Xenopus tropicalis: one gene and its partners. The protein of the gene in region 3 purifies or fractionates together with the protein of the main gene of each other region. This does not show direct contact. Links are inferred from orthologs where the notes say so. Each region holds a gene or a part of one and is shown on either strand. Other genes may lie near its edges.

Region 1 (7,881 bases), on a different chromosome or scaffold from region 3:
GCAGCTCTCTAGTTTCAGCAAATCTTTCAGGGGCTGTGTGGGTTGTGCAGCGTTTTTAGGCGGAGAAAATATGCAGCGTAAAAACGCCACGTCTGGCATCAGCTTAAGGTCCAATTTAATCTAACCTCTAGGTGATCTGAATGAGAAGAATGGAAAATGAATCAAAAAGGGTCTGGATAGAAAGATTAGTGATTAAAAGTAAAAATAAAACGTACCTTCATTGAGCATCATTTTTTCCACTGCAGTAACGAGGCACAAGAGGAAAGCAAATAATTAAACAAAGTTGTAAGAAAAATAAAGACCAATTTAAGAACTGCTAGGATTAGACCATTCTGTAACATACTTAACGTTAAGTGTGAACTAACCCTTTAAAGAAAGCAATTTTGGGTACCTGAAGTCAGCAGGCAAAAATGTACCGACTCCACCTATTATATTTAAATTGTAATGAAAAACAAACAATGTTACACTGTCCTATTTCACAGATAAGTCATAATATAGTACTTCTCTGCTGTAAAGAATAAAGCCCAGTGCATAGTTGTTTCACTAGTGTGAAGTCCAGCTGAGCTGCTATTTTTTTTTTCTTTTGTTTAAACTTTTTAGGTTTAAGAAATGTTTATAGTTTCTTAAATAAATAAAAGGAAAAGCCACAATGTTGTGGCTTAGTTATAGATTTAGACCCAAAGTTGAACAGTATCCTCCTTTATCTTGGGAGTGACAGGCTTGGATGGCCAATAGGATAAATTGCCAGCACACACTGGCCTCTCAAGATAATAAAGCCTTGTGCACAGTGTGGAGGGACAGCACCCCCCTGGTACATACAGTGACAAAATAACACCAATGCTCCTACAGTCTGTCTGAGGTATGAACAGGTGAACAATGTGGGTGCTTACAGTCTGAGCCTGAGATGCAGGGAAAAAAGGTGTGAACAACATGGGGGATTACAGGTGTAAACAATACCAGAGTTTGGGGGTGCCAGTTGGACAGCACTGATATGAGCAATACAATGTAACTAAGAATAAAATTGTAGCCGCACAGACCAATAGTTGTTTGTCTTCGGGGGGTCTGTGATCCAAACATCTAAAAGACTGAAAGAGGCAGAAAAAAGGCAAACCAAAAAAAAAAAAGTGAAGACCAATTGAAAGGTTGGTAAGATCAGGGAATTCCATAGCATACTTAGTTAACCTTAAGTTGTATCTCTTCAAATAAAGTATTTGCTTGTAATCTTTTGCATTACTATAGTCTCTATTTTGGTGTCGAGAGAATGCTTTGTAATCCAGGTCCAATATTCTTCTGTCCATTATTTTATCCACCAGTACCTTTATGCACGGAGGCTTACACAAAGGCTGTTCAGTTAATAAATCTATTTCATATACTTATATACATATTATTACAATAACAAAAAAATTGTCCTTGTTTTTAGTAACAAGTTTAGGATACTTAAATAGAAACCTATGACCACAATATTTAACACATCACAAAACATTAAAACACAGTTAATGTGTTTTGTAATTGTGCCTATATTTTGCAGATAAATAGTAAAATAGATGTAGCAAACTTCATAAAGGAAGGTACTTTTCCGTTAAACGCTGTGTGCGCCTGATAGTGAGATCAGCAGACATGCAATTTAAGTTTTGATGAGATTTCAGGGAACGGTTGGAATCTAGTTTCAAGATATTTCTTAGAAACACTGAGTTCTGTGGTATTTTTCAGCTGTACATTTAATGCAAGCCTTGTGACTGTGGTTCTTTTCAGTGGTAAATGCACCTGCTAAGTATCATGGTACCACAGGATTTAGAATTTCTGGGTTCTAAAGCAAGGTATTTGATACTATCTGAAAAATAAGATTGAGTGAATCATTGTAATAATCATAATAATGCTTGTTCTTGTGTCTGTATGTATACTTAATCACCCATTCTTAGAATACTACAGGCATCACATTATGTACAGTTAGAGCAAAGAGAGACGGGGAGATTAGTCGCAATTTAAAAAAAAAAAAAAAAAACTAGTAGCAGCAGCGCTTCCTTTGTTTTCAAACATTCATGTCTGTGTGCTAAGGAACTGGTGTGGCCAATTAGTGACTCCTTCTAGATTTTTAAAATCGCAGCAACTAATTGGCCTGTTTGTTTTCACCCTTAGGAGCATAGACTTTGTATTCAGTGTATTAATTTTGTATGCAAGATAATCCTCTATCAAGCAAGGCACCTACCTCCGATGTCTGTGGAGTGTGGATGTTTTATGTTTTTGTTCACATGGAGAAAACAGTGATAGAACGCCATACATTGCATTGTATTACTTCCTACTAGATTAGATGAGGCTAATTAACAAAAAAAACCTTACAATTTAGTTTACTAAACATTTGGGCATATTTTATAATGTAGGTGCTAAACTGCACCCAAACAAATTACGTTATGGCAGGATGGGAAAAAAACCGAGCCAGGTGGGTAAAAAATGATTATATGCCTCTCCCACCCTAATAGAACTATTTTTCACAGATGCCGATAGTACTGTGTGCTACCTGCTACCTTTGTATTGGAGAAATATTGCAAAATCATTTTAAGGATTGTTCACAAATTTAATAATTGGTATCTGTTTTTAAGATTTCTCATTTATGATAACTTATGTTTTCTAATTAGAGACGCAACTGTGGTGGGCAAGTCATTGGTCCTTAAAAGATCCACTTTCCGTCGACATCCAAAGGCTGTTGAGTCCTTGACCAAGCTGTGTGTACGGCATGGAACGATACCTAAGAGACAAATATGTAAATTTGAAGAAGGTCAAGATGTCCTAGCAAGATGGTCAGATGGATTGTTTTATCTTGGAACTATCAAAAAGGTAGCATTTGTAGTCATGCTTTTACTTGTCATTTTCTCAAGTCCTTTTTCCTCTCTCACAACAATTGACAATTCTATTGTTTCTGTCGAACAATAGACATTAGACAATATTGCGTTTTTAATGGGTGTAAAAGCACCCCCCAACATAAACAAGAAGGGGTTAGCAAATTAGCCTACATACGTGTGGTTGGGCATGATGCTTGTGAGAACACATGGGTGTAAATTGAGGTTAGCTGGGTGTACATAGGCATAGGAACAAAATCTCTTAGTAATGTTAAAGGGATACTGTAATCAGAAAACATTTTTTTTCAAAAAGCATCAGTTAATAGATTTCAATGCTAGATTTTCAAAAACACAAAGATTTTTTTTATATTTAATATTGAAATTTCACATGGAGCTAGGCATGTTCTTCGTTACCCAGGGTGCCACAACCATGTGACCTGTGCTCTGATAAACTTTGATCTCATTTTACTGCTGAGCTGCAAGTTGGAGTGATACCACCCCCCCTCCCAGCAGCCAATCAGCAGAACAATGGGAAGGCAGCAAGATAGCAGCTCCCAATAGATATCAGAATAGCCCTTAATAGTAAGAAATTCAAGCCCGGATAGGGACTCCTTTTAGGGCTCTGGTACACGGGGAGATTAGTCGCCCGCGGCAAAACTCCCTGCTCGCGGGCGACTAATCTCCCCGAGTTGCCTTCCCTCTGCCATCCCACCGGCGAACATGTAAGTCGCCGGCGGGATGGCAGACGCGGCGAGGCGATTTCGCGCAAATCGCCGAAAAAGCCTCGCGAGTCTTTTTCGGCGATTTGCCGAAATCGCGCCGCCGCGTCTGCCATCCCGCCGGCGACTTACATGTTCGCCGGTGGGATGGCAGAGGGAAGGCAACTCGGGGAGATTAGTCGCCCGCGAGCAGGGAGTTTTGCCGCGGGCGACTAATCTCCCCGTGTACCAGAGCCCTTAGTTACATGGGAGTAGGAGAAACAATAGGTTATCTGAAAGCAGTTCTAATGTGTAGCACTGGCTCTTTCTGAAAGCACAATGCACCGAGATGGCTGCCTACGCACCAATATGACAGCTAAAAAAAGATACATTTGTTGGTTCAAGAATAGCATTTTTAAATGGTAGAGTGAGTTATTTGCTATGTAAACTGTGTATTTTAGTAATAAAAAGTATATCATAAAAATCATGATAGTATCCCTTTAAGTAATGACCATCAGTTTGGATGTGCCTTTGGCGACCCGGAGGCATTAGCCAGCAGTTGGGGATCAACCAGACTGTGATTGCTCTCAGTACAGAAACTGAGAAGGAAAGTTGGATCACCATTTATATAGTGTCAATAAAGGCCATATTTGGTACTCTTGTGCATTCCAGCATGTTAATCTATGCAAAAGCTGCTCTTATGAAGAATAAACATTTAAGGTACTTTATTTACCTGTAAATGGTATAGAATGAAATTATAGATCCGTCTAGTCTTCAGTCAAAACTTACGCTTGTGGTAACTGCATCTTCTTTTTGCTTGCATATTTCAGTTGGTGGAGAAACAAAATAAATCCTCTGTGCCACCTGTCATTGATGTAAATGAAACAGGGCTGTGGAGTCGGTAGATCCGAATCCGAAGTTTCTGATACTTCCGACTCCACGACTTTGACTCCTCTGTTTTTAATATGCTAATGTATTTTATACATCCAGGAAGGGGAAGGGGGGAAGGGGTACTTAAAACACAACTGAACTGATAATAAACTGATAGACAATTTTATCTATACTCCTACTCCTAATGATTTCCCTAGAATCCCATAGTCATGTTTAAAGTTTAAGCTAACATTACAGCTGAATTACAGCATAAAGGAACAGTAACACCAAAAAATAAAAGAGCTTTAAAGTAATAAAAATATAATGCACTGGTAAAACTGGTGTGTTTGCTACAGTAACACTACTATAATTTATATAATAAGCTGCTGTGTAGCCACGGGGGCAGCCATTCAAGCTGGAAAAAAGGAGAAAATGCACAGGTTACATAGCAGATAACAGACAAGTTCTGTAGAATACAATAGTGTTTTATCTGTTATCTGCTATGTGCCTGTGTCTTTTCTCCTTTGAATGGCTGCCCCCATGGCTACACAGCAGCTTACTTATATAAACTATAGTAGGGTTTCTTTTAGGGCTGGGCGATATACCGTTTAATACCGAATACCGGTGTTTTTTTAAAAAACTATATTCATTTTTCAGATACCGCAATACCAGGGTGTCGGGGTACTCACCCGTGTGGCCCGGTCTCGCGCCTCCTTGCGTGCGCGCGTCCCATTGTCCACGGGACATTGCGTATGCGCGTCCAGGTGCTTGTGCGTCAAAGCGCACGTACATGTCAAAGCGCTGCACGTCCGTGACGCGCTGGTGGCGCCGGTTCTGCGCATGCGTGGGGGGTATTTAAAGCTATCAAACGCCTCCTCCTGTGCTATGTTGTCTGCGGCCTTGCCTGGGAAACTAAGCCTGCCTGATTTACCTTACGACTTTCTGTTGCCGATCCTTCGCTTGCCTGACTCTGATTTTCAATACTGCAGTAATTCTCTAATTTATTAGGAAATGGGGTTAACACCTAATCATGCATGGAAAAAAAAAATACCGTCAAATACTGTGACACCGATATAATTTTGAAAAATACCGTGATATAAATTTTTTGTCATACCGCCCAGCTCTAGTTTCTGTGGCAAACACCCCAGCTGTACCAGTGCAGGAATGGCTGCCCCCATGGCTACACAGCAGGGTATTTATATAAACTATAGTAGGGTTTCTGTAGCAAACACCCCAGCTGTACCAGTGCAGGAATGGCTGCCCCCAGGGCTACACAGCGGGGTATTTATATAAACTATAGTAGGGTTTCTGTAGCAAACACCCCAGCTGTACCAGTGCAGGAATGGCTGCCCCCGGGGCTACACAGCAGGGTATTTATATACAGTGGTGTGAAAAACTATTTGCCCTCTTCCTGATTTCTTATTCTTTTGCTTGTTTGTCACACAAAATGTTTCTGATCATCAAACACATTTAACTATTAGTCAAAGATAACACAAGTAAACACAAAATGCAGTTTTTAAATGAGGGTTTTTATTATTTAGGGAGAAAAAAAAATCCAAACCTACATGGCCCTGTGTGAAAAAGTAATTGCCCCCTGAACCTAATAACTGGTTGGGCCACCCTTAGCAGCAATAACTGCAATCAAGCGTTTGCGATAACTTGCAACGAGTCTTTTACAGCGCTCTGGAGGAATTTTGGCCCACTCATCTTTGCAGAATTGTTGTAATTCAGCTTTATTTGAGGGTTTTCTAGCATGAACCGCCTTTTTAAGGTCATGCCACAACATCTCAATAGGATTCAGGTCAGGACTTTGACTAGGCCACTCCAAAGTCTTCATTTTGTTTTTCTTAAGCCATTCAGAGGTGGATTTGCTGGTGTGTTTTGGGTCATTGTCCTGCTGCAGCACCAAAGATCGCTTCAGCTTGAGTTGATGAACAGATGGCCGGACATTCTCCTTCAGGATTTTTTGGTAGACAGTAGAATTCATGGTTCCATCTATCACAGCAAGCCTTCCAGGTCCTGAAGCAGCAAAACAACCCCAGACCATCACACTACCACCACCATATTTTACTGTTGGTATGATGTTCTTTTTCTGAAATGCTGTGTTACTTTTACGCCAGATGTAACGGGACACGCACCTTCCAAAAAGTTCAACTTTTGTCTCGTCGGTCCACAAGGTATTTTCCCAAAAGTCTTGGCAATCATTGAGATGCTTTTTAGCAAAACTGAAACGAGCCTTAATGTTCTTTTTGCTTAAAAGTGGTTTGCGCCTTGGAAATCTGCCACGCAGGCCGTTTTTGGCCAGTCTCTTTCTTATGGTGGAGTCGTGAACACTGACCTTAATTGAGGCAAGTGAGGCCTGCAGTTCTTTAGATGTTGTCCTGGGGTCTTTTGTGGCCTCTCGGATGAGTTGTCTCTGCGCTCTTGGGGTAATTTTGGTCGGCCGGCCACTCCTGGGAAGGTTCACCACTGTTCCATTTTTTTGCCATTTGTGGATAATGGCTCTCACTGTGGTTCGCTGGAGTCCCAAAGCTTTAGAAATGGCTTTATAACCTTTACCAGACTGATAGATCTCAATTACTTTTGTTCTCATTTGTTCCTGAATTTCTTTGGATCTTGGCATGATGTCTAGCTTTTGAGGTGCTTTTGGTCTACTTCTCTGTGTCAGGTAGCTCCAATTTAAGTGATTTCTTGATTGAAACAGGTGTGGCAGTAATCAGGCCTGGGGGTGACTACAGAAATTGAACTCAGGTGTGATAAACCACAGTTAAGTTATTTTTTAACAAGGGGGGCAATCACTTTTTCACACAGGGCCATGTAGATTTGGGTTTTTTTTTCTTCCTTAATAACGTAAACCTTCATTTAAAAACTGCATTTTGTGTTCAATTATGTTATCTTTGACTAATAGTTAATGGTTTTTGATGAGCAGAAACATTTAAGTGTGACAAACATGCAAAAGAATAAGAAATCAGGAAGGGGGCAAATAGTTTTTCACACCACTGTAAATTATAGTAGATTTTCTGAAGTAAACACACAACTTTTACCAGTGCAGGGCATCAGCACATTATATTTTTAGTTACTTTTATACACTTTAATTTTTTGGTGTTACTGTTCCTTTAAACTATTAACTATCCATTCCCTTCACGTATACAAGTATTTCTAGTCCTGCAATTTTTTTTTTACTTAATTAGTTATCAGTGAGAGTTAGGCTAGGTTCACAGTGGGCATTGTGTTCCCTGTAACAGAGTAACACGACGCAGTGGAGCTGCCGCACCTTAACTGTGCGTTACGTCCCATTTAGTGAAGCATACAGTCAATGAAAAACATGCTTCATGGTCACTCAACATATTCGTTTATGCACTGCGTGCATTGGGCTTTATTCTTATAGCAGAGAAGTAATTATGACTGTTTGTGAATTGGGACATTTAAACTTACTTTATTTATTTATTTTTTTATTCCCATTTAAATTTAGTCGGAGT
Region 2 (7,506 bases), on a different chromosome or scaffold from region 3:
AGGGAACCCCATAACCTGACTGCCCTTACAGTAAGGAACCCCTTCCTATGCTGATGGTGAGATCTCCAGCCAATCAGTGAATGACACACAGTCACATGGTCTGGTCCCACAGAAGCGCCAGGCAGGGCTCCTACAAATATACAATTAATTGCACTTTAATGACCAGTAAATGGGAAACATCGTTAGAGTTCGGGAATCTGCGGGGAAGAGAATGTGATGGAATCGGTCGGAATAACATAATTAACGTTAATTGTTGGTTTACGAGACGCCCTGCGGCCAATAGTGCAAAGGTCCCTGGTCGGGTCACACTCGCCGCCATGGCAACATTCATTTAAAGGGGAAGTATCGTAAATATTCTTGAACCATAAGAAAAATAGCAGCAGCCAGAGACTGACCCATCTGGAATCCAGGAGATCGGCCTATGAGCAGATCTATTCCTTATCTGGCCAACACTGCCACCCAGTGGGCAAAGTGCAGAATTGCAGGGAGTCTGTTGGATCCAGTTTGTTCCCTATGGCAGCAAAGGTTTCTGGGAAGACTCGGGGGGGGGGGTGGGCACCCCTGGACTTTGGTATGTTCCACAGAGGGGCAAAAGGGCTCATTTAGTTAAAAGCAAAGGGCCAATGGGGCTGTTGGATTAACTGCCCCTTCCCAGAAGTAACCGCCTCTTGGTACCACCCTTGGTTGCGACTGTTAAGCAGCGGCATTGGCCACGCCCACCCCTAGCGGGAAGCCATTCACAGACACACACACACAGCATTTGATTGGCTGAACGCGCGTCGTCCCTTTGCGAATACGGTTTTTATTGTTACAAGGTGCATTATGGGAAACAACCCTTTACCTTCTGGCAGAAGTAGCGCAACCCCAGGGGATTCTGGGAAATTCTAACATATTTACAAACAAAGTTCCATGCTAAAAATACAGAGAATAAAAAAAAACAAAAAAATTCTAGCGGATTCATTATTATAAAAATATATTACAAATCTGCGGGATTATTTACAGGCGCGGGAATAGCGGCGACACACGGACGCGTGGGGGGGGCGGGGTCTAGTTCATAAAAATATACGGGGGGGAGGGGCAATCGCAGAACTTTGGTGCTGAATAAACTGATTTTTTATCTGATCAAAATAGAATTTTACCTCTATAAAGGGAGGATCAAAATGGCCGCCGCGGCTGCGGGTTTGAGTCACATGACTGCGACGCCATGGTGATCGTTAGAAAGGGTTAAAGGGCAATTGGGCACATAATGGGGAATATGCCTGTTAACCCTTATCTGACTAAGCCCAAGTCTTGGCTCCGGGGGAAGGGGGGCAGACGCGCAGCAGCTGGGAGTTAAACTCCCCGCAACCCCGGGCAGTTCTGCACAGAGGGGCTTATTCTATAAAGGACAGGCAAAAGTGCATTTCCAAAGGGCCAATCGCTGCTGGGCCTCACGGGATCCTGGGCCTATCAGGCTGGCGGGATTCCCTAACGAACGTTTCCGCACTAACGAAGGCAAACGATGTACAACAACACATTGCAAAGCAGCCGACATGCAAAGCCTCGACGCAGCGCCACTAATTAGCCAGAAGAGCATGGGGGGGGGCATGGCTCTCTCACAGAATGGGGGGCGGGGGGTACGTGGCTCTCTCACAGAATGGGGGGCCGGGGGGTACGTGGCTCTCTCACAGGATGAGGGGCCGGGGGGGTACGTGGCTCTCTCACAGGATGAGGGGCCGGGGGGGTACGTGGCTCTCTCACAGGATGAGGGGCCGGGGGGGTACGTGGCTCTCTCACAGGATGAGGGGCCGGGGGGGTACGTGGCTCTCGCACAGAATGAGGGGCCGGGGGGGGGTACGTGGCTCTCGCACAGAATGGGGGGCCGGGGGGTACGTGGCTCTCTCACAGGATGAGGGGCCGGGGGGGTACGTGGCTCTCTCACAGGATGAGGGGCCGGGGGGGTACGTGGCTCTCTCACAGGATGAGGGGCCGGGGGGGTACGTGGCTCTCGCACAGAATGAGGGGCCGGGGGGGTACGTGGCTCTCTCACAGGATGAGGGGCCGGGGGGTACGTGGCTCTCGCACAGAATGAGGGGCCGGGGGGGTACGTGGCTCTCACACAGAATGAGGGGCCGGGGGGGTACGTGGCTCTCTCACAGAATGAGGGGCCGGGGGGGGTACGTGGCTCTCACACAGAATGAGTGGCCAGGGGGGTTACGTGGCTCTCACACAGGATGAGGGGCCGGGGGGGGTACGTGGCTCTCACACAGAATGAGGGGCAGGGGGGGGATACGTGGCTCTCACACAGAATGGGGAGCCGGGGGGGGGGTACGTGGCTCTCGCACAGAATGGGAAGCCGGGGGGGGGGGGGGTACGTGGCTCTCGCACAGAATGGGGGGCGCGGGGGGTACGTGGCTCTCTCACAGAATGGGGAGCCGGGGGGGTACGTGGCTCTCGCACATAATGGGGGGGCGCAGGGGATACGTGGCTCTCTCACAGAATGGGGGGCCGGGGGGTACGTGGCTCTCTCACAGGATGAGGGGCCGGGGGGGTACGTGGCTCTCTCACAGGATGAGGGGCCGGGGGGTACGTGGCTCTCACACAGAATGAGGGGCCGGGGGGGGTACGTGGCTCTCACACAGAATGGGGAGCCGGGGGGGGGGGGTACATGGCTCTCGCACAGAATGGGGAGCTGGGGGGGTACGTGGCTCTCGCACAGAATGGGGGGTACGTGGCTCTCGCACAGAATGGGGAGCTGGGGGGGTACGTGGCTCTCTCACAGAATGGGGAGCCGGGGGGGTACGTGGCTCTCGCACAGAATGGGGAGCTGGGGGGTACGTGGCTCTCGCACAGAATGGGGAGCTGGGGGGGTACGTGGCTCTCTCACAGGATGAGGGGCCGGGGGGGTACGTGCCTCTCGCACAGAATGGGGGGCCGGGGGGGTACGTGGCTCTCTCACAGAATGGGGAGCCGGGGGGTACGTGCCTCTCGCACAGAATGGGGGGCCGGGGGGTACGTGGCTCTCGCACAGAATGGGGGGCCGGGGGGGTACGTGGCTCTCGCACAGAATGGGGGCCGGGGGGGGGTATTGGGCTCTCGCACAGAATGGGGGGCCGGGGGGTACGTGGCTCTCGCACAGAATGGGGGGCCGGGGGGTACGTGGCTCTCGCACAGAATGGGGGGCCGGGGGGGTACGTGGCTCTCGCACAGAATGGGGGGCCAGGGGGGTACGTGGCTCTCGCACAGAATGGGGGGCCGGGGGGGTACGTGGCTCTCGCACAGAATGGGGGGGTATGTGGCACAGAGCACTCCACAACACTACGACCAATAGGACACTTGCTGGGAGGGGCTCACTAACGTGCACTGCTCCACACGACTGCACAGTGGCGCCTCCAGCTCCTCCCGCTGCGCTCTGCCCGGCCTGAAACACAAGGGAAACACAGTCAGAGCCAAGAATCGCCTCGCTGCACTGCTGCGCGCAGGGGGAGGGGCTTATTCACATGTCCTTTATAACTTACAGGTACCGGAGTGGGTCAGTACCAAGCCTTGGTACTTGGTGCCATTAATATCTAACGATTGGTCACGGCGCCATGTTTGTATAGGGCAGCCCAATAAAGCTAATGAAGCCTAACGAGCCTCGTTACACCTGCACTGGCATTAATTAAACAAACACACAGACTGATAGGGGGCAAACCATTGTGTATTTGGGGGCAATAACAGCTAGTGGGGGGGGGGCTAATATCTAACGATTGGTCACGGCGCCATGTTTGTATAGGGCAGCCCAAAGCTTCCGGATAATTAAGCCTAACGAGCCTCCTTACACCTGCACTAATTAATCAAACACATAATGGGGCAAACATCCCAAATACCCAGCAGCACTTGCAGGGGTGTGGGCGGAGCCCAGCCTGGGGGCGGGACAAGGAATACAAACCAGCGAGGGCGGAGCTAGGGGAGGTGCTCTCTCAGGGTCCCGCTCGGTGGGTTCCGCTTACTAGAATTTCTGCACATAAAAAAGGACAAAACCACGTGAGAAACAAAAGCCCCAGAACCGCTCCGACCCGTTACCATGGCAGCGGCGCCCCCCCCGTACCTGTAGATGTTGGGGTCGAGCAGCAGGGCCGTATCTTTGGGCAGTTGGGATAAATGCACCACTTTGGTCTTGAGTTGGTGCCGGTCGCTCTCATTCACCCACACGTCCGGGAGTCTGAGGGGAGAGACGGAGCCGCTAGAACCGGAACCAGCACCCCGGGCCCAAGCCCCGCCCCCGGTACTTACATGTCCTCCGGGGTCCAGTGCAGCAGCAGTTTGACTTTCCCAGTGTCCTCCTTCCGCTTAGCGATCACCTAGAAACACAGCAAGTTGGCACCTGTAACAGTTCTGCCCCATCTGCCCCCTGGCACCAATGCCCCCCGGGGCTACAGGGGCACTATGGGACCCCCGGGAATGAAGATGCCACTCACCGTGCAAATTGGCACCTGTAACAGTTCTGCCCCATCTGCCCCCTGGCACCAATGCCCCCCGGGGCTACAGGGGCACTATGGGACCCTTGGGAATGAAGATGCCACTCACCGTGCAAACTGGCACCTGTAACAGTTCTGCCCCATCTGCCCCCTGGCACCAATGCCCCCCGGGGCTACAGGGGCACTATGGGACCCCCGGGAATGAAGATGCCACTCACCGTGCAAACTGGCACCTGTAACAGTTCTGCCCCATCTGCCCCCTGGCATCAATGCCCCCCGGGGCTACAGGGGCACTATGGGACCCCCGGGAATGAAGATGCCACTCACCGTGCAAGTTGGCACCTGTAACAGTTGTGCCCCATCTGCCCCCTGGCACCAATGCCCCCCGGGGCTACAGGGGCACTATGGGACCCCCGGGAATGAAGATGCCACTCACCGTGCAAGTTGGCACCTGTAACAGTTCTGCCCCATCTGCCCCCTGGCACCAATGCCCCCCGGGGCTACAGGGGTACTATGGGACCCCCGGGAATGAAGATGCCACTCACCGTGCAAGTTGGCACCTGTAACAGTTCTGCCCCATCTGCCCCCTGGCACCAATGCCCCCCGGGGCTACAGGGGCACTATGGGACCCCCGGGAATGAAGATGCCACTCACCGTGCTGTGGAAGACGACGCTGTGCCCGTTGCCCAGACTCTCTATTTGGGCCGAGAGATTGAAGCAGATGGCGCGATGCCGTATGGCGTCCAGCGTTTGGGCGTCAAAGAAGTCATGTGGTCGGGCTACTGGGCAAAGCGTAACAGGTTAGTGCCAGGGAAGGGGCACACGTGGGCACAGATACAGGGAATGAGCCATAGACACAGAGGGGCAGCTTGGTGCCCACACAGGGACAGCCTGGTACCTTACAGGGCAGGGGCAGCTTGGTGCCCACACAGGGACAGCCCGGTACCTTACAGGGCAGGGGCAGCATGGTGCCCACACAGGGAGAGCCTGGTACCTTACAGGGCAGGGGCAGCTTGGTGCCCACACAGGGAGAGCCTGGTACCTTACAGGGCAGGGGCAGCTTGGTGCCCACACAGGGACAGCCCGGTACCTTACAGGGCAGGGGCAGCTTGGTGCCCACACAGGGAGAGCCCGGTACCTTACAGGGCAGGGGCAGCTTGGTGCCCACACAGGGACAGCCCGGTACCTTACAGGGCAGGGGCAGCTTGGTGCCCACACAGGGACAGCCCGGTACCTTACAGGGCAGGGGCAGCTTGGTGCCCACACAGGGAGAGCCCGGTACCTTACAGGGCAGGGGCAGCTTGGTGCCCAACAGGAGAGGCTGGTACCTTAAGGGCAGGGCAGCTTGGTGCCCACACAGGGAGAGGCTGGTACCTTACAGGGCAGGGGCAGCTTGGTGCCCACACAGGGAGAGGCTGTACCTTACAGGGCAGGGGCAGCTTGGTGCCCACACAGGGACAGCCTGGTACCTTACAGGGCAGGGGCAGCTTGGTGCCCACACAGGGAGAGGCTGGTGCCTTACAGGGGGGGCACAGAAGGTTCCATACCGGGGGGGGGGGGGGGGGGGGGGGGGAGAACACAGAAGGTTCCGTACCAGGGGGGGGGGGGAGAACACATAAGGTTCGTACCAGTGGGGGGAGGAGAACACATAAGGTTCCGTACCAGGGGGGGAGAACACATAAGTTCCATACCAGGGGAGAACACAGCAGGTTCCATACCAGGGGGGGGGGTTGAGAACACATTAAGGTTCCGTTACCAGGGGGGGGGGAGAACACATAAGGTTCCGTACCGGGGGGGGGGGGAGAACACAGAAGGTTCCGTACCAGGGGGGGAGGAGAACACATAAGGTTCCGTACCAGGGGGGGGAGAACACATAAGGTTCCATACCAGGGGGGGGAGAACACAGAAGGTTCCGTACCAGGGGGGGGAAGAACACATAAGGTTCCGTACCAGGGGGGGGAGGAGAACACATAAGGTTCCGTACCAGGGGGGGAAGAACACAGAAGGTTCTGTACCAGGGGGGGCACATTAAGGTTCCGTACCAGGGGGGGGGGAAAGAAACAGAAGGTTCCGTACCAGGGGGGCACATAAGGTTCCGTACCAGGGGGGGAAGAACACAGCAGGTTCCGTACCAGGGGGGGCACATAAGGTTCCGACCAGGGGGGGAAGAACACAGAAGGTTCCGTACCAGGGGGGGGGGAGAACACAGAAGGTTCCGTACCAGGGGGGGGGGAGAACACATAAGGTTCCGTACTGGGGGGGGGGGGGGGGGGGGGAGAACACATAAGGTTCCGTACCAGGGGGGGGAGAACACAGAAGGTTCCGTACCAGGGGGGGGGGGAGAACACAGAAGGTTCCGTACCAGGGGGGGGAGAACACATAAGGTTCCGTACTGGGGGGGGGGGAGAACACATAAGGTTCCGTACCAGGGGGGGGGGAGAACACATAAGGTTCCGTACCAGGGGGGGGGAGAACACAGAAGGTTCCGTACCAGGGGGGGGGGAGAAAAACACATAAGGTTCCGTACCAGGGGGGGAGAACACAGAAGGTTCCGTACCAGGGGGGGCACTTACGGAGGGTGCGTTTCCGCTTGATCTTCAGCTTGCGCTTGCGGTTCAGTCCGGCTTTGGACGGCGACTCCTCCTTGGACTTGGAGTGATTGGCCATCTTGGAGGAGTTCTGTTGGCTGAAGTGAGTGGGCACGTGCCGGGCCAAGCCGCCCTGGGAGGCAAAGCTGGCATTGCAGCCGCCAACGACGCACTGTCAATCAAACAAGACTTTGCCTCAGTACCGAGCCCAGGGTCCCCCCCCACAAACTCACTGTCGGCCCTAAGGTGCCCCAATGTGCAGCTGCTGTGCCCCCCAGTGTGTAGCCCCTCAGCCTGCACTTACCCCCCAATTATAGTGGGACATTTAGCCCCTGGGGCCCCCCCCCCGACACAGACGGTACCTTGGGGCGCTGCTGGGATCTGTGGGTGCAGCACCGCCTGTTCCCCTGTCTCAGCCCCCTTCTCTCTGGCTCCTCCCCCATTATGGATTAGCCCAGTGCAGTGCTGCTGCCCAATAG
Region 3 (7,881 bases):
CTTAAAGTGGACCTGTCACCCAGACATAAAAAGCTGTATAATAAAAGCCCTTTCAAATTAAACAAGAAACCCCAAATCATTTTTTTATTAACACATCCAAACCCATTATAAAAGCATTTAAAAATCCCAGCTGTCAATCATATATTGCCTGCCCCGCCTCTATGCCTTAGGCATAGAGGTGGGGCAGAGAGATACTTTCACTTTCAATTCAGAACTTCTTAGATGTTGCTGCCCTCCTCACATTCCCCCTCCCTCCGCACCATTTAATTGTGTAACCAGTGCATGGATATGGGCATCAGGTCCCCCATACTGGCACAGAAACAAGATTTTGGCAGGATTGCAACAGTGATTGATAACAGTGTCCACAAAATGGAGCCTGCCTGCTTACTGCAATTGTGAATTCCAAGGCTGAAGAAAATATGATTAAAATAATTTATATAGTGTAAGTAAAGTTTATTTTGCTTGACAAACACAATAGAAAACAATATGGAATTATTTCTTAAGGTGACAGGTCCCCTTTCAGTTTTACAAAACTTTACAATTTTAACACCTTAGCTGTACCTGTGCTTCCGTTTCTTTTTTTGTGCAGTGCTCATTAGTTCCTTTGCTGGCACTTTTAAGAGCAAGGAATCTGTCACAGCAAACTGGAAAACCTTTGACAAAACCCAATAAGAATGAATTAGAAATCAAGCTATCTACATACTTCTAGTATGTTATCCGGAAGATTTCATTTTACGCAGTTTGTTTAAATAAGAGAAGTGATTTTGCGTTTATTGTATCAATTACAATATTTCAAGGGACGTATCGCCCTACCTGATGAAGGGGTATGCCCAGAAATTTTGTAAATTAGTGATCCCCAACCCAAACAATGTTGCTCCCAGTGGCCCCAAAGTAGGAGCACAATTTTTAAATTTGTGGCTTGGAAGCACAGTGACACAGTTTTACTTGAAGCAGAGCCTCCTGCAAGCTAGCAATTGGACACAGAGCTATCAAATAGACCAAATAGCCAATAACAGCCCTTATTGCAAACACTTTTTTCATTTGAGTGTGGTTCACAAGTAAAAGATGTTGGAGATCCCTGTGTAAATGATACAATAAATGAAAAGGATACAATAAATGAAAATGATCTAAGAATTGCACTTATATTGCCCTTTCTCTGAACTATTACAATATACAATATACTATGCATTTTTAGGCAAGAGAAGCACAGAACCTATTGTGCAATGTGTCTAGATTCTTAGAGTGTCTTCTTATCTAACCAATTCAAATAACAAGAGCCAATCAGCACTGACAACCTCAGCCATAGCTAAAATATTTGATCAAAAGCTTTTGTTTGCAGAATATTCATAGAATATTGTTTGCAGAATAATTGGCAGAATATTCACTATTATTCATTTCCTAGACTCAGCTATATCATAGGAGTATAGTATAACTAACTTTAAATAAGTTGTTGCAGATCATTTGCACCCAGAGCAATAATTCCCACCAACCTGCTTGCATGTCTTGGTGCCCATTAGACGAGCAATGGAACAGAAATTGTTGAAGTAAGTTCCATGGAAGACCCTAAAGAGTGACTCCTCAGCTCCAGACCATTCCACTGGCTCACTGGGTTCAGACACATCTGGAAGCTCCCCACTTAGGCTTCCCTGCCTTTGTTTGGTAGGGGTTTGGCTCCGTGAATTTGCTTCTGCAATATCAGGAAAACCCATTTTTAAAAGGTGACTTCCCTTTTCTTCCTGTGTTTCCTTTTCTCTTTACCACATTCTACATCTACTATTTTGATATTGGCACAATATACTCTACTAATTAGACACAAACAAGACTTTGCATTCATAATTTTTTTACTTAAAGTCCTGTACATGTTACACTGGTCTTTATTTTGGGTTAAGCTTTCTGAAAACCTCATGAGAGTGGTTCTCTTCCATCACCTGAAGAGCTAGAAGCACAGTCATTGCCAGTGTCTCGATCACTGTCCCCCTCTTTAGTCTCCATTACATTAGAGTTTGAGCCAGAGGCAGCAAGGGCTGTGGTTTTCCGGCGACGCCTTCCCAAGCATTTGGATCTGGGATTGTTCATCATAGCATATTCTTTTGCTCCTTCCTGGACATGAATAATAAGGATGAACGGAAAAATGAAGCAACAGTTTGTAGCCTTTGGTAGAACCCACTGGTATACACATTATTTACAGAATGAGCAGACAATGCGTGTATGGGTTAAGGAAACAAGTTTTCAAATAACCAACTTTCTGCCATGTGTTTTATAAAACTTTCTCATGCATATCTAAAGGTGCTGGGATTTATATTTACAAATGTTAAGTAGTTATAGCATTTCTAGCCAATGGCTAAAGGGGATCCAGGAAGCAGAAAGAGCAGACAGAGCAACCCTACAGAGCCATGGGCCACAGGTGGCCCCCTGAATTGCCTATATTTTGACCTACTGCACCATTCAGATATAATTTTTAACCAATACATTAAACAATTTTACCAAAATCTATACAAATAATTTATTTTACCAATAAACATAAAAGAGTCCTATAAATTGATATCACTGTTTGAATGGTCAACCTACCAGCCACAAGAAGCAATGAATTCCACAGGGCTCAGTTTCAATCTTTATTTCTCGATTCCTTCTCCTGTATACATTAGGACTTGCGTGGAATGCTGCAACAAAATATATATATTATTATATATATTATAATATATCTATACAGTAAGTGAAATCAAACAAAAAAAAAAAAAACAATGTAGAAAGAAGTTATTAAACACAAAAATGGCAATAAAACAGATTCATTTAATAGAAGAGGTTGTAGTAGTCACATATACATTTAAATCCACACTCTCTTGTGCAGTAGTTATGCAGTGCCCTTAGCACATTTTACTACACAGCAAGGACTGCAGTGGTAAGTTCCCCTTTATCAATGTTACATTCTGCTCAAGCTTAGTTGATGCTACATAGGGTCTTGTACATTCACAAATGTTACTTTTGTTCAACTTACGGTGTAGAAAGCAGTCATACTTAAAACAGCGGCGACAGAATAGGGTGTGGAAGGAGTGAAGAGACTGCTCCCTTTGCACAGATTTGGCACATGGTCCATCAATGTTAGGAGTACACTGGGGAGGCAATGCATTGGGATCATAGGCTTCTGTCAGTTCTTTGTACCTTGGTAAGAAAAAGTAAAAGGAACATGTGCATAGTTTTCTAGAGAAACAAAGTACAAAGAACTATGTTTTGAGCAAAGCACCTCTCTTAGCATGTCATTGTTTGTCTTTGTTACAGAAGCCTTATAAACCATGTAATGTTCTTTACATCCAAAGAATACAGAATCAAGGAAACACCAGCTACATAATTTGGACTGGTCATGTTGGTATTCAAATGTTAGTCTAAAACCAACATGGCACTGTTTCCAATAACCAGAACAGTTATGGATATTTAAATATTCGAGTCTAAGGGGGGAACTGGCAGCACTGAGGGCAGCTGCAAGCATGGGGGAGAACAGGAGGCTCACTGAGCAACCACTGGCAGGGGCCGGTGTAGTGGGGGGGGGGAAAGGGACAGTGGAGGTTAATGAGGGAGACAAATTTGTAACAGTTAAGAGGGGAAGTAGGGGACACAAGGGTAGGGGGGCTGGTTCAAAGCTTGTACAAACCAACAGATTTGCCGCGTTAGGTGAAGATGCTGGGGAAGGCAGCTCTGAGCTGGCATGTATGGAGCAGGCTGACTCTCAGAGCACCCTGGGAGCCGGCACCTCTAATACAGGTGGGGGGAGTAGTGCTAGGAAGGGAAGGCAGGTTATAGTTGTAGGGGATTCAATTATTAGAAAGGTGGATAGGGTAATTTGTCGCAAAGACCCTACATGCCGAACTGTGTGTTGCTTGCCTGGTGCTAGGGTTCGGCATGTGGTGGAACGAGTGGACAAATTGTTGGGAGGGGCTGGGGAAGACCCGGCGGTCTTGGTACACATAGGTACCAATGACAAAGTTAGAGGAGGGGGGGAAGTCCTCAAGAACGATTTTAAAAAGCTAGGTGCAAAGTTGAGGGCGAGGACTTCCAAGGTAATTTTCTCAGAGATATTACCTGTGCCACGAGCAACATTAAGAAGGCAGCGGGAGCTCAGGGAGATTAATGCGTGGCTGAGAGATTGGTGCAGGGAGGAGGGCTTTGGGTTTCTCCAGAACTGGGCTGATTTCTCAATCGGCTACAGGCTCTTTGCCAGGGATGGGCTGCACCTCAATGATGATGGGGCAGCTGCTTTGGGGGAAAAGATGGCTAGAGGGTTGGAGGAGATTTTAAACTAGGAGTGGGGGGGGAGGGTGCAGCGGGAAATTCTGTGGTAGACAGGATAGATGAGGTAGTGGGCACAGTAAGGGAAATTGGGGGAGGAGACTTGCTTCAGGATACTGATAATGGCAGGGAGGCCCATAAGTTGTTTACACGTTTACACGTTTACACGCCGGAACCAGTATTAAATGTATGTTTACCAATGCAAGGAGTCTGACTGGTAAAATGGGAGAGCTGGAGGTACTGGCGTTGGAGCGGAAATATGATGTGATTGGTGTTGCTGAAACTTGGTTGAATGAGTCTCATGACTGGGCAGTTAATATTGGGGGGTATACATTGTTTCGGAGGGACAGGGGCAATAGAAAAGGAGGAGGAGTGTGTCTGTTCATTAAGCACGACTTAAAAGCAAATATTAAGGAGGAAGTTATGGGGGGAACAGAGGGAGCTGAATCCTTATGGGTTGAGCTTCTCACAGATAGTAAAGAATCTACCAAACTAATTGTAGGGGTATGCTATAGACCCCCTAATGTAAGCGAAGAGGAGGAGGCCCAGCTCCTGTTGCAAATAGAAAAGGCTGCTAGTTTGGGGCAAGTGATTATAATGGGGGATTTTAATTACCCTGATATTGACTGGGGCAATAGTACTGCCAGGACAGTAAATGGGAACAAGTTTATAAACATGCTGCACGACAATTTTATGTCACAGGTTGTTGAGGAGCCAACCAGGAACCATGCTATACTAGATCTAGTGATCTCTAATGACCCAGAACGTATAGCAAATGTGCAAGTGGTTGAACCCCTGGGTAATAGTGACCATAATGTTATTTCATTTGATGTTTGGTGCAGGAAACAAATTTACACGGGGGCAACAAAGACACTGAATTTTAGGAAGGCAAATTTTAGCTCCTTAAGGGCAGCGCTTCAGGGCATAGATTGGGGCATTATATTTTCTGATAAAAATACAGAGCAGAAATGGTTGTCATTTAAAATGATATTAAATCATTACTGTTCTCAATTCATTCCATTAATAAGAAAAAGTAGAAGTGTTAAGAATCACCCTATGTGGCTTAACTCTGAGGTAAAGAAGTTAATAGGGAAAAGGAAAGCTTTTAAGAAATATAAGTCAGAGGGGACAGTAGCTGCGCTTAATGAATATAAACACTATAACAAGTGTTGTAAAACAGCAATCCGGAAGGCAAAGATAGAAAATGAGGAGCGCATCGCGGCCGAGGCCAAGACTAACCCCAAAAAGTTTTTTAAGTATATTAATAGTAAAAAGATGCAGGTTGAGGGTGTGGCCCCATTGAGTTATAATAACAATATGGTTACAGCGGATACAGAAAAGGCAGATGTGCTTAACCAGTTCTTTTCTTCTGTGTATACAGTAGAGGAGCCAGTGGGCCAAGTCCCACCCAATAGCTTCACTGTTGCCTCAGCTCCAACTACACAGTGGTTGGCACAGGATATGGTGCTTAAAGGGTTACACACGATAAATGTAAACAACATAATGTTATTTCATTTGATGTTTGGTGCAGGAAACAAATTTACACGGGGGCAACAAAGACACTGAATTTTAGGAAGGCAAATTTTAGCTCCTTAAGGGCAGCGCTTCAGGGCATAGATTGGGGCATTATATTTTCTGATAAAAATACAGAGCAGAAATGGTTGTCATTTAAAATGATATTAAATCATTACTGTTCTCAATTCATTCCATTAATAAGAAAAAGTAGAAGTGTTAAGAATCACCCTATGTGGCTTAACTCTGAGGTAAAGAAGTTAATAGGGGAAAAAAGGAAAGCTTTTAAGAAATATAAGTCAGAGGGGACAGTAGCTGCGCTTAATGAATATAAACACTATAACAAGTGTTTAAAACAGCAATCCGGAAGGCAAAGATAGAAAATGAGGAGCGCATCGCGGCCGAGGCCAAGACTAACCCCAAAAAGTTTTTTAAGTATATTAATAGTAAAAAGATGCAGGTTGAGGGTGTGGCCCCATTGAGTTATAATAACAATATGGTTACAGCGGATACAGAAAAGGCAGATGTGCTTAACCAGTTCTTTTCTTCTGTGTATACAGTAGAGGAGCCAGTGGGCCAAGTCCCACCCAATAGCTTCACTGTTGCCTCAGCTCCAACTACACAGTGGTTGGCACAGGATATGGTGCTTAAAGGGTTACACACGATAAATGTAAACAAGGCACCGGGGCCAGATGGAATACACCCTCGGGTACTGAGAGAGCTAGGGGCAGAATTGCAGTGGCCCTTGTTTCTGATATTCTCAGACTCGCTCTCATCAGGTATGGTACCTAGGGATTGGAAGAAGGCGAATGTCACTCCCATATTTAAAAAGGGAGTAAGATCTCAGCCTGGCAATTATAGGCCTGTAAGTTTGACATCCGTGGTGGGCAAGTTATTTGAAGGCTTGTTAAGGGATCACATTCAAAATTATGTAGTGGAGAATGGCATTATGAGCAGTAATCAGCATGGCTTTATGAAGGACAGGTCATGTCAGACCAATTTCATTGCTTTTTATGATGAGGTAAGTAAGAAGCTGGACAGTGGGGATTCAGTAGATATAATCTATTTGGATTTTGCCAAAGCATTTGATACCGTTCCCCACAAACGACTGCTTTCTAAGCTAAGGTCTATTGGTCTTAGTGAAGTCGTTTGCACATGGATAGAAAACTGGCTACAGGATCGGGTACAGAGGGTGGTTGTTAATGGCACATTCTCTATTTGGAGTAAGGTTCTCAGTGGGGTCCCTCAGGGTTCTGTACTGGGTCCACTTTTGTTTAATTTGTTCATAAATGACTTAGGGGAGGGTATTATGAGTAATGTATCAGTGTTTGCAGATGACACAAAACTCTGCAGACCAGTCAATTCTATCCTGGATGTGATCCTTAAGAGGTGACATGATAACTATTTATAAATATATAAGGGGATCATATAATAACCTCTCTAATGTTTTATTTACCAGTAGGTCCTTCCAACGGACACGAGGGCACCCACTCCGTTTAGAAGAAGGGAGGTTCCATTTAAATATTCGGAAAGGATTTTTTACAGTGAGAGCTGTGAAGTTGTGGAATTCCCTCCCCGAATCAGTCGTACTGGCTGATACATTATATAGCTTTAAGAAGGGGCTGGATGGATTCTTGGCAAGTGAGGGAATACACGGTTATGGGAGATAGCTCTTAGTACAAGTTGATCCAGGGACTGGTCCGATTGCCATCTTGGAGTCAGGAAGGAATTTTTTCCCCTCTGAGGCAAATTAGAGAGGTTTCAGATGGGGTTTTTTGCCTTCCTCTGGATCAACTTGTAGTTAGGCAGGTTAGGTATAGGCATTATGGTTGAACTTGATGGACGTATGTCTTTTTTCAACCCAACTTACTATGTTACTATGTTACTATGAGTCATTGCAATCTAGCCCAGATCCACTTTTATGAAATTTTACAGGGAAATAATTTAACCAGAATGACCCTGAGCTTGGCCAGGTAGAATTTTTGCCCAAGGCGCTTAAGTCCCATTCCCTCTCCCCTGTCACCATGTTCTGCAAGTCACTGCACACAACCACCCCACGAAGGTGCACAGTAGTGATAAGCAGGCCGA

What was found. Proteins that work in one complex are often made in the same cells at the same time.
Region 1: the proteins of ezh1 (region 3) and mtf2 purify together in Homo sapiens (affinity purification with mass spectrometry; 3 studies listed by BioGRID and IntAct, with this or other methods). This does not show direct contact. The link is inferred for Xenopus tropicalis from reciprocal best matches to the Homo sapiens genes EZH1 and MTF2.
Region 2: the proteins of ezh1 (region 3) and aebp2 purify together in Homo sapiens (affinity purification with mass spectrometry; 3 studies listed by BioGRID and IntAct, with this or other methods). This does not show direct contact. The link is inferred for Xenopus tropicalis from reciprocal best matches to the Homo sapiens genes EZH1 and AEBP2.

Annotation. Positions count from the first base shown.
Region 1 is NC_030680.2:104,216,141-104,224,021, reverse strand, and holds part of mtf2 (metal-response element-binding transcription factor 2), read left to right. Parts: intron 1-2,633; coding exon 2,634-2,832; intron 2,833-7,881. UniProt on the Homo sapiens protein: Polycomb group (PcG) protein that specifically binds histone H3 trimethylated at 'Lys-36' (H3K36me3) and recruits the PRC2 complex, thus enhancing PRC2 H3K27me3 methylation activity.
Region 2 is NC_030679.2:761,196-768,701, reverse strand, and holds the end of aebp2 (zinc finger protein AEBP2), read right to left. Parts: intron 7,200-7,506; coding exon 7,013-7,199; intron 5,219-7,012; coding exon 5,094-5,218; intron 4,323-5,093; coding exon 4,255-4,322; intron 4,184-4,254; coding exon 4,070-4,183; intron 3,980-4,069; coding exon 3,925-3,979; 3' UTR 3,911-3,924; intron 3,401-3,910; 3' UTR 3,230-3,400; downstream 1-3,229. UniProt on the Homo sapiens protein: Acts as an accessory subunit for the core Polycomb repressive complex 2 (PRC2), which mediates histone H3K27 (H3K27me3) trimethylation on chromatin leading to transcriptional repression of the affected target gene.
Region 3 is NC_030686.2:22,245,017-22,252,897, reverse strand, and holds part of ezh1 (histone-lysine N-methyltransferase EZH1), read right to left. Parts: intron 3,160-7,881; coding exon 2,996-3,159; intron 2,661-2,995; coding exon 2,569-2,660; intron 2,101-2,568; coding exon 1,929-2,100; intron 1,688-1,928; coding exon 1,491-1,687; intron 654-1,490; coding exon 562-653; intron 1-561.